Linked DNA regions of Drosophila melanogaster. Changing the gene in region 2 together with the main gene of any one other region gives a genetic interaction. Each region holds a gene or a part of one and is shown on either strand. Other genes may lie near its edges.

Region 1 (5,071 bases), on a different chromosome or scaffold from region 2:
CCTTGAGATGCTTGATGTAGTCGAAATACACGAAGGCATGGCAAATGGGCACCAGAAGCAGCTTGGGCAAATAGTATTTGACCGCATCGCGGAAGCCATGGCCGGCTGTGGTCAGAGATGAGGCCTAAAAGCAGGGATTTTAGTAGAATTCTTCGCACAGAAGGTATCAATACTTACCCCTGGCTTAGACAGGAGATTGTTGAGAGCATCCCGTGAGGCCTGCGAGGTAACGTCGTAGGCGTACTTCTTGTACACATCGAACTCCTCGGCCTCGGCCAGTTCCTCAAAGCAGCTACCGACGCAGGGGGCACTCTGCTCCTGGGACATCTCGATGACGTCCTCCAGGGAGCCGAGCAGAGTGACCGTCACCTCGTAAATGTCCATTATGTTGGAGAATATCGGTTCCAGCTCGCGCGGATCGGACACGATCTTCACCAGCTCCTCACGAAAGACGCGTATGATCATGTGCAGGTCGCGTTGGTACTGCTTCTCGTCGTGGATCAGCTCCTTGACCGTCTCCTCGTAGGTGGCACTTGCACGCTGCGCGGGAAGTGACAGGGGACTGGGCAGGATGTGGGCTTCGCTCTGGTTGAGCATGTCCATTAGCACACGATCGGCGTTCATCACCACCTCGATGTCCTCCTTGGTGATCTCGCAGTGGGCGATCTTGATCACATAGTCGCCGGCCATTTTGAGTATGTCCGCTGAGATGTACTCGAGCACGGCCACCAGGAAGGCGGACACGGAGCTATCGATCTTGTACTGCAACACATCCTTCTGGAGCAGCGTGTGCACCTTTTCCGTGGGCAGGACAGACTTGCGTTTCTTCGAGTTGATCACCTCCTTGGCCTCGTTCAGGGCCCACTGATCGATGGGCGCTGGAAAGGACTTGTTCACCTTCTCCTCCACATCCTGCACGGAATGGGGCAGCGGCTTGGCGCACAGCATGGCCAGAAGCCGCAGACAGAGTTTCTCCACATACAGCAGTGCGTCCTCCTTGGCGGTAACCCGTGGATGCACTTGCTCCAGCACCTTCTTTAGCGATGGCGTAAACAAGCCCCTCCATCTCGCAGCATTCTCGCACTTGGTGAAGTCATAGCCATCGCAATCCTGCAGCCCAGCCACGCCACCGCCGCCAATGCCAATACCACCGCCTCCGCCCTGTGAGCCACTACCACTACCACCGCTGCCGCCGCCGCCTCCAGTGCCCAGACCGATCCCGCCCCCGTAGCTAATGGTGTGGGCATGGCCGCTGGGCCCCGAGAACATTCTGTGCGCCGTGGAGTAGCCGACGAGAGCCTGCCGTGGAGCACCTTCGTTGGCCGCCTGCCCTCCGCCTCCCCGCCCGCTGTGTTGTGCACTGAATCCAGCGACGAGTGGAGTGGAGCGGAACCTGGAAACTGGAAACCTGGAACCGTGGGGCACCTGGCACAGCCGGATCACCCGGGCGAACGTCGCATGGCAGTCACACACACTCAAGCGCACGCACTGAACTCGTTTCGAATCTTGAACGGGGCTCGCGCGTCCGTTTCGTTTGCAAATCGCTTGGGCTTCAGCACTTGTTTTCAGAATATGTATCTTCGATATATATATGTATAATATAATCTTCAACTCAATATAATATTTTTCGCGGTGTGACCAGAGTGCGGCACTGCCTAAATCCAGTAAATGCTCGCGACCAGCCCTGATTCGATGCTTAAGAATGTACTAAAAAATCCAATGTAGAGAGCATTCGTGTTGAATGGCTTTTTTAGCAGAAGAAGAAGCATTTTGAATTTAAATTGCAACGAGCAGGTTTAAAATATATTATAATTTACCCAAAAAAAATGAATTTAATTATCTCTTCAATGTTTATATTTCAAGAAATTTATATTTATATTTATAAAATGTCTTTCCTTATCTAAAATCGTAAGGAGATATGCAACATACATATCGACTCATCCCTTATTTTACTTGGATAATGTAAGATACATCCGCTTTCAACGCTTCTAAATCGAAAACAAGTACAATGTGTTCAGTTGAAACAATTAAACATATGAAAGCAATGCAATGCAACAGAATACAAAAACCAAAAACAGTTAGGGAGCTAGCTTCCAGAAGTCGAAGCTTCTATACCCTCGTATAATTATATATTTGAAAAACAATCCATCCAAAAACCATAACTATACGGTATATAGTATACATATACACATATATGTACACTTTTACTTTGTTGTCAAATTTTCAGTGTATAATACTTCAGGTTTCAATGTCCGCTTATAGATTGAGTTGCATCGGGAACGCGGAATGGGGACCCCATACCTCCAATCGTTCCAGCTCACTATTCAACTCGGAGGCCATCGAACAGTTGCGCGATAAGTGGACCCACTTCTTTTTTAACCTGCCAAAGGCGCCTCTCGAATTGCAGCTGGCCAAAGCCCGAGCGAATCGTGCACTCGAGCTGGTCAGGAGCAAGGAGAAGGCTGCTTTGGAACGGACCGAATCCTCGCCAAGAAGTAAGTGCCGTCCACTCACTGCTCTGCACAACTCGCCGCGTACCACGAATCGAATGAAGCTGATCATGGAGACTCGCGTGCGTCCAGCGATCGTCAAAAAGTCAAAGTCGGAGTACAATCTATGTCCCAGTTGTGGGCTTGTCAAGGACTCGATTCTCAATCACCAGCACGCCGAGCAGCGACTGAAGAAGCTACTGGCACAGCATCCCAGTTTGCTGCCAAAACGACAGCATAGAAGGTCAAACTATTTGCGTATGCTATAACTAGATAAATTGCAATTTTTCTTCCAAGAATGCCAGCCATTTGTGTCGTCAAATATATTTAGTTGTGGGTAATAAGGAGGCAGAGTGTGACTATCTTTCCAGTAGCGTGCCGCGCTGCTTCTTCTGCGGCGGAGGTGCGTCCTCTGTCTTGGTTTTGATGCCCACATCGCTCAATTTTCCGCCTTTGCGCTGCAGTTGCTTCTCGATAATCCTTGCGTTGTTCGCATAGCTGTCTGCGATCTCGCGCTGTTTGAATGAACAAAAAAAATGGTTAGTTTGAAAGAGTTGTAGGTTTGTTCGTAGATGATGCAATGATAGATTGGATTTCCTGCACCATTTACAAACCAACTTTAGCTGACAAACTTACCGCCTCGATTTCATCCTCCTCCTCGTCGATGGTAGACACCGTGACCGAGCTGAACTTGCCCATGTTCTTCGTGTGTCTGGTGACGACGACCTTCTTGCCACTGGCATCCACAATACCCGAATCGTCTGGACCGGCGGAAGTCGCTGGCTTGGCAGCCGGTGCCTTGAAACTGCCCTTGATCTCCGAATTCAGCAGCTGTGTGAGAGGACTCTCACCCTTGTTGCGGATTAGGGCATTGGACATGACGAAGGTTACGTGGGAGTCGGGACTGTGGCGATAGTAAAGCGGCAGACTGCAGCTTCGGCACTGAAGGTTAAAGGAAAACATTAGGTGAACTAATGACGGGTAAGGAGTGGAAGTCAGCTACTCACCTTGTAGCGGTACTGCTTCTCGATCCCATTGCCCCTGCTCTTGCGTTTGATGTAGACCATCCTCGGTGTGGGATTGTGGGTGAGTTTGTTGGCATGGTCGTTGGCGTTTATCACACGGGCGTTGTCCACCTCTCGTAGCGGCAACTGTTCGAGGGTGCAATCTGTAGGATAGGCAAACATGATGTACTATGCTTTCAGTTAGTTGGCTCCAGTAATCTTACCCAGAATCAGAGCCATCTTGTTGCACAGACAGTAGTAAATGTTTAGCGGCTTTTCCTCGTTGTACTCCTCCTGATCCTTGGTATCGGAGCAGACGATACTGCGCGACACTACTTTGGGCATGGTTATTTGTGGGTTTCGGACTTATGAAACTTATAAAATTAAAGTAATTTCCTATTTCATTAAACACCGCAAGTAAATAAATAAACAGTGAGACCAGAGTGTGCAAGCAAAAGGTAAACAATGCAACACGCCAATCGATATTGCTATTCGATTACCGAACTTATCGGTTCGCACATTTGCGAATATAAACAAAAATGTGTGATAACAAAAAACCGACTGTTAAGGAAATTGCGGAACTTTGTTTAAAAAAATTCGAGTCCTTGCCAAAAACAGGAAAGCCCACAGCCAATCAATGGACAATTTTGGCGGGAATCGTGGAGTTCAACCGGAACACGGAAGCATGTCAACTAGTTTCGCTTGGATGCGGAACAAAGTGCATTGGAGAATCCAAACTTTGTCCCAATGGCCTCATCCTGAATGATTCCCATGCCGAGGTGCTGGCACGTCGTGGATTTCTTCGCTTTCTATACCAGGAGCTCAAGCAGGATAGAATCTTTCATTGGAACAGCACGCTAAGTACGTACGACATGGATGAGCACGTGGAGTTCCACTTTCTGAGCACACAAACGCCTTGTGGGGATGCCTGCATCCTTGAGGAAGAGCAACCAGCGGCGCGGGCCAAACGCCAGCGGCTGGATGAGGATTCCGAGATGGTCTATACGGGTGCCAAACTAATAAGTGACCTTAGCGATGATCCAATGTTGCAGACGCCAGGAGCTCTGCGAACGAAGCCCGGACGTGGAGAGCGCACTCTATCCATGTCCTGCAGTGATAAGATAGCGCGATGGAATGTCATAGGCGTGCAGGGGGCACTACTGGATGTATTGATCTCCAAACCCATCTACTTTAGCAGCCTGAACTTTTGCTGTGACGATGCGCAGCTGGAATCTTTGGAACGTGCCATCTTTAAACGTTTCGATTGTAGGACATTTAAGCACACGCGCTTCCAGCCTCAAAGGCCACAGATAAACATTGATCCTGGCATAAGATTTGAATTTTCCCAACGCTCCGACTGGCAGCCATCCCCCAATGGCCTGATTTGGTCCCAGGTCCCAGAAGAATTAAGGTAAGGGTCCTTTTAGCTAGACAGTTTCAGATCTAAACATATATTCCTAACACGCAGGCCCTATGAAATTTCCGTAAATGGAAAGCGTCAAGGAGTAACTAAGAAAAAGATGAAAACTTCACAAGCTGCACTGGCGATCAGCAAGTACAAGCTGTTCCTTACATTTC
Region 2 (6,543 bases):
TTCGTGAATATTACATGCAATCCGTTTGCAATTTGCTAACAAAGTAAGGGATAGCAGACATTCAAGTCACTTAACTAACAAACGATGACTCCAACACTTTAATACTCTTGTTTCTTAAACAATAAACTTCACATTTATGTGTGCTATATATCTGATATCAACAATATCTAAACAATAACTTTAAAATAAAACAGCTGATTTAACGATAAACACCAACAATAACCATAACAGCAACGACGTTGTATAAAACCAGTTGAACCCGTCTTGTTTTCGAAAGGCTATTGAAAGCTCTGATGCATATAGTAATCTATATCTTTTAGCAGTTTTTGTCACGAGTCGGACGTCAAGGACTAATACTGTCGTGTACCAAGAAATTATATTTTTATTCCTGTAGTTGAAGATAAAAAGCGGAAATTAGATTCGTTGAAAAGTATATATAAAATGTATATATATATATATATTCTTGATCGAAACATATCCGGGAACATTTTGCTTTATTGAAACAATTTTAAAACCCTGTACCTTTTACAGTCAACATCTAGCGAATTAGACAGCCGTAGGTGGACTTCAGAGGAATCGGTATATGATATTTTAAAAATATCTTTAAAATGTTTTAAAAACATTAGTAGAAAATCGTTGTGTTTTACAATATTTTACACATTCTTACATACGTTAAGTTGTACAAAAAGACCAAAATTGTTCGAGTGTTTTAAAGATTTGTATAGTTTTTGTTACTAACCGAGTATGAACAAAAAGACTACGGTGCGTTTATCCCTGAATAAAAGCTCAACTCACACCGAACTTGTTGACTGACCTATGGTAACCGATTCGAAGCATGGTCATTACAAAATATCGCTCGATGTGTTTTCGGTTGCTTGTGTGGGAGTTTTTTTTTTTTACGGTAACGCGTGCCAAGAAAACTGAACAAGACGAACATAATAACGGGTATAATGAGCTGCAGAGCGAGTGGAATGGAGTGCGATTGGCGAAGTCTTTGTTGTCGTTGTTTCTGAAAGGTAACAATTGCACTCAAAGGTACTACGACCCAAATTGAACCGGTTTAACGTTTTTTATGTTTGTCTGCTTTTTTGTTATTTCCTTCTAGTGCGCCAATCCACAACTAGTAAACCTCGAAAATCAAACACTAACTCTTTCTGTTGCCATTCGACATGATGGTTTTCAGCCAAATCTGTGAGCGAGTCTACGTTGCGTAGCCAAAAAAAAGTGAATCATTGCAAGAGAGCGATAGGAATTAAGAAGCTGTGTGATGCCGTCTAATTTATAGCTTTTGTGCGTACTTTCTCCGTGACTCCAAAAAAATTTAATGCAAATAACATTGTGATTCGCTTGCTGCGCTCCATTAATGTGGAAATCAAAAGTAAGCTATTTGGCCAGCAAAAACATAGCCATTGACCGACAACCTCAACCAACACAACAAAACTTATGGTAAAAAAAAGTTTGGCTTTGATTTTATGACCGTGATTTAGGTCATTGCACAATGGTGACGAGACTTAGTTCCCTTCCACTCATGGAATTCGAATTTATTCGATATGTCGAACTTTTCATATATATTAATATCCGCGACATTCGTGTACTTAATTTAATAAAAAAATTGTTTTTTTAAGAGAGAAACTAAAAGAAATTGAACGTCCTTCACATTCATCAAATATTTTGTGGCGCCAACACTCTTAAAAAAACAAGAGAAAACACCAAAGCGAGTTCTTTGACTAACAAATACCCGTTACTCAAAAAAGAGAAGTGCAAGGACGACGCAAATATTCCAGTAGGAACGTGACTCCGAGATTGCACATATATGCTTTAAAAACCACATTTATTTTATTCCCTTACTGTATTTATTTATTCTAACTGAAAACAAAGTATCGTCAGCGTATGTATAAGAGGTTTTTGGGAAAGTGCACGGTCCACAGTTAATAGCTTAAGTGGCAGGAGCTGAAGAGAGAACCAATGAACTGAAAGGAGTAATTCGAAGGGATCACAATCAGAGGTTACAGCTCGGAATGCCAACAACAAAGAGCGGACCACGAAGCCAGCTACCATAAACAATGAGCTTTTTTGCCTCTCTTTAGCTCATCTGGAGCTCCACACTCAATACCATGAAAGCAATTTTCATGTGTTTTTCAACTGAATATTTTGTATCTGTATCTTTATCTTTTTTCTGCTACCACTGCTGTTGTTAAGCGACTCCGACTGACAGGCATGACTCATGACGCAGGAAATTTACGACCACGGCACAGTGCAGCAAGAGAAGGCTGAAAAGCGATATAAAAGAAGGCCCTAAACTCCGCTAATTCCAAGCCTGAGAGCCAACTTAAATCTTAGCCTAAACGCAAAGAATATGTGCGAAATGGCGCAGTTTGCCCAAGTCACGTAAGTCGAAATTGATATGATTTCTGAGGCCTGGTATGGTGTCTGAAAAAAAAAAACGCCGTGGAAGTGCACAGCAGTGTATAAGAAAGTTCATGTGCACGGAACTGAGCGCTTTAGCACTTACAAAAATGTATCACCCGTTTGGCAAGCCAGTTGTGCATTTTAGCACATAGTAAACGATAAAGTTCGCAACAACTTGAGGACGACTTTGTGGGCTGTCAGGCATTGCATAACCAGATTCGCAGGAATTCTCTTACGAAATAAGCTCGACTTTGTATTCCGCACGGAATACACCGTTCTAATTCCAGCGGCATGCGCCGAGGCAAAGAAAATATGTTTGCATGACCAGCGAAACACACGCGAAACAGTAAAGAAAATAGAAAGTTCTGTTCCCATCTTTTTCTGAGTTCGGATCCACCAGAGGAATGTTCCGCACACTGCAGCTTCCCTGGGCTTGTACCTTTTCCAGTTTTGCTGCTACTGCTGCTCTTGTTACCACTTATCCATATCAAAGTGGGGTTTTACTTGAGGCACTTTTGAACAAAGAAAACACTGACTGTTAGAAGTATGCCAACAACACAAACAGGTCGCGCATGCGCCGCACAGTGCATCTAGTGGCTCTGTGGTGGCTTGTGGATAATAGATTATATAGATTTCATCGGCCCGTGAACGAAAAAACTTGTAAGCGCGGTAGGCGAGCTTTGGCCAAATTCGATTAAGGCATTTAACTCAGATTCGGATTCGATTTCCTATGTGCTGCGTGTACGGGCGCTATTCCGATTTCCGAGCCGTTTTCGTGCGGCTTCCGTTTACACGTCCGTTTTGTGCACCGCTTCGCAGACAACTGATACGTTTATGAAATTTTTATAGAAAGGTTTTAACCGCTTGCCACCGCACCGACACACTCGCACCCGCCGCCTTGGCATCTATGTGTGTGCCATTTGAGCCAAGCTCGCTGCCCGCGTGTTGGCCAACCGTTCCCGCTCTCTCGCTCTTCGATCCATCTTTGTGTGCTTAGTCTCTTTTATCTTGGCCCAGAAGTCCAATGGCTCGTCGAAGAGTGGTCTCGCTCTTCGTCTCCAAGTGCCTCTCTCTTAAGATGCTCCGAGATAAACTGCACAGTTTTGTAATTACGACAACAATTAGTCACAAAGTGCGTTGATTGCAAAGATCAAATCGAGTTGAAAACAATTAACTCGTCGCTGTTACTGACAAAATGTCAGGTTGTATTAATTTGTTCACGTAACCAAAATAACTCAGCACTGTCGCGTCACTGGAAATCAAATTATTTGTTTCTAAATGTCTCCGCTTGGGTTCTTGTGAACGCCATTGAACTCGTCATTGATAAGGTATGCTATGGAACATTGCTGAAATAGAAAATATTAGAGTCTACATCGTGGGAATACTAATGGCTAGTATCCAATCCAGAAGGGACTCGCAGTGGGGACTCGCGCCTGGACATACCATTTAATATTAAGAATATATTAACGAATACCTGGGGATATTTTGCGAAAAGTCGGAGGGCAAAATCTATAAACATAGTCGTTAGTCACTTTGATTTAACACTTGACCAAATATGAGTGTTCCTGAGCTCCCTTATGTAAATAGAAATTCATGTGCACATATAAACACATGTGTTTACGTCGATGGCTCAGATTCTCCGTTTCCCTGACCACAAAACCCTTAAATACTGAAATATTGGGACTTACCTGGAAATAAAAAGTAAACAGAAAGTGTTAAATGTTAACTTTAACGGGTTGTGTAATGCAAAATAAATAAATAAAAGGACACTTTTATAAAAACGTTAGGCAGTATGGCCAATATCACTGAAGTATACGGTTATCTAACTTAGCAGTATATTCTTTTTTCATTTTAAATTAACTTTTACAATATTACAGCACAAAGTCACAGCTTACAGGTCGTATAACTGAAATCAAATCTAGCCACACACCAAACTGTATCGACAAAATGCGATTTCGTCTCCTTCTACTGTCCTAATCTGATTGAAATGTGTGTATTTACCTCTACGTAAATTACGAGTCAATTAATGCCCAGCCAGACTAGGTGAATATTTGCTTCCTGTGCAATTTTACGCTAATTCAAATTCCTATAACATCAACACGTTCACCGTTAGTATATGTAGTCTTTATCGGACGTATCAGCTAAAAATTAACACTATATCACTGAGTCAATTAAAATGTAGTCGTTCGACCTTCCTGGAGAGCGACGACCGAGTCTGTTGTCACTTATGTTTTTTTTTAGCTACTGACAAATTATTAAAACAATTGCCTTCTATTGAGTATTATTGACTTGCCACAAACTCGAATGATTTGTCTACACACACACACACTTCACCTGAGCCGAAAGAAGAACGCTCAACTAAATCGGAACTTCACCACGCATGAACACAGGGAAATATGAATAAATGCCGACACGGCTCTTGCATGTGGCTCTCTAAAACAATTGCCTTCTCTTCGTGGGTTCAACGACATTTTCTGATGTCATGTTCAATAACAATTGCAGCCTATAGTGGCAACGGGAGTAAAATAAAGGATGGCTTGAATTATTAATGAATAATGAATACGGAGGTTCAAAAAATACTAAATTCGCTGCATATGAGCTGAAATTATAATTATTTGGAAAATCGGACCCATTTATTTGCAAACTGTGGTATCATAACTTTTCTTTAATTGTTAAAATATTTATTTGAGTCTTCTCAAATCGCTCTCAACAATCATATTATTGAACATTTTAATTAACCGAAACTCAATATGCGTATACAGAATAATGCTCCTCTGACATTGGAACTAGCCAAAAACGAAAAACTCATAAATCGATCATTTTCACTGTGGCAATTTGACGCTAACAACAAACAAGAGAGCAGCAGAGCGGATCTGCGTTGAGCTTCATAGCGTCAGGTGCGGTCTTCCGTGTCGGAAGACGAGGCAAATTAAATGCAAAAAAAAACGCACGAGAATCCAAACGTCATATGACAGATACTGCTTTTTAAAGCAACAAGTGACTCAAAATCAAAGTTGTTCCATTATAAATTTTAAATTCGAGTTAGGCTTGAGTTCAATTGCTACGCCTGGCGATTGCTTAATGCTCAAAGCAAAAAAAAAAATATATTTGTGTATTTAAGTGAGTTTGCTGATTTTGATGTGCTTCTCTTTGCGAGTGATTTACGATCTGAACTGGGAACGAATAAAAATTGGTTTTATGGATTTCGGTGTTTGTGGGTGGCTCTAATTTAGACGTTTTTATTATTGGCGACGTTTAAAGCTACGTAATAGTCAATTTAAGATGTTCGGTTCAACCATTTAGCACTTTGTCAAATAGCTCGACTCGCTCGGACTTTCCCATTGACGGAAGTCAAGTTAAGCAAGAAGAGCGCATAAGCAAGAAGTTAATTCACCGAGTGTCCAGGTATTTCCCCTGAAAAATTCACTTGAATTAAATCAAGAGCTGGCCTCGTCGTCTCTGCCGTATTCTGTGTAAACGCTTTAAAATCATCGGTGATCATTGACGTCACTGCGTTTTAACCACCATAAAGACACAATCCCCTGCACCTTCCTGCTCACTCTTTCAACTTATTTCTCTTTGACCCACATTCAAAGCTGAACAGAAATACTCTCGAGAAGATTGGTTAGCGCCTTCCGATGGAAAAACTGTGGGGCTTTAACATTCGTGTGGCAATCGGGGAGATTTCATTAGTACAGAAAATCATAAATATTCATTTACGCATGGGAAAGTTTTTTTCACTGGCGTGATAACACGGAAACTAATATTTTTCAAAACTTGTATAAATTATGGTTTAATCGGATTTAAAAAACAAAAACAAATCGAGAATTAAAGATTTCTTTCATAAGCCAAACTCCGAAGTTACAAGTTGCCAAAATATTAATATTAATTAATATATTAATAACACGTTTCTAACAGGTACATATATAAAAAATATTTTAAATCAATAGAATGTTGGTACGCGATAGCGCATAAATTTGTTGTTCCTAGTAGAATATAATATAATATATATAATATAATATAAAGAATGTACATTCATGATCAGGATCAATAGCCGAGTCGACTTGGTCATGTCTGTCCGTATGGATTCCCTGATCTCGGAAACTAGAAAAGCTAGAAAACTGATACTAGCAC

The links. Genes that interact genetically often act in the same process or in processes that back each other up.
Region 1: of Src42A (region 2) and Sos, changing one suppresses a phenotype caused by changing the other (phenotypic suppression), as found in Drosophila melanogaster (3 studies listed by BioGRID).

What each region holds. Positions count from the first base shown.
Region 1 is NT_033779.5:13,810,412-13,815,482, reverse strand, and holds the start of Sos (Son of sevenless), read right to left. Parts: upstream 1,668-5,071; 5' UTR 1,270-1,667; coding exon 178-1,269; intron 125-177; coding exon 1-124. Other genes in the region: CG16888 (uncharacterized protein), read left to right, coding at 2,249-2,758; CG16865 (uncharacterized protein), read right to left, coding at 2,849-3,004, 3,126-3,431, 3,497-3,657, 3,718-3,838; Adat1 (adenosine deaminase, tRNA-specific 1), read left to right, coding at 4,033-4,904, 4,962-5,071. UniProt on the Drosophila melanogaster protein: Promotes the exchange of Ras-bound GDP by GTP. Functions in signaling pathways initiated by the sevenless and epidermal growth factor receptor tyrosine kinases; implies a role for the ras pathway in neuronal development.
Region 2 is NT_033778.4:5,989,683-5,996,225, reverse strand, and holds the start of Src42A (Src oncogene at 42A), read right to left. Parts: upstream 3,235-6,543; 5' UTR 2,849-3,234; intron 1-2,848. UniProt on the Drosophila melanogaster protein: Required directly or indirectly for the phosphorylation of drpr which is necessary for the interaction of drpr with shark and subsequent glial phagocytic activity.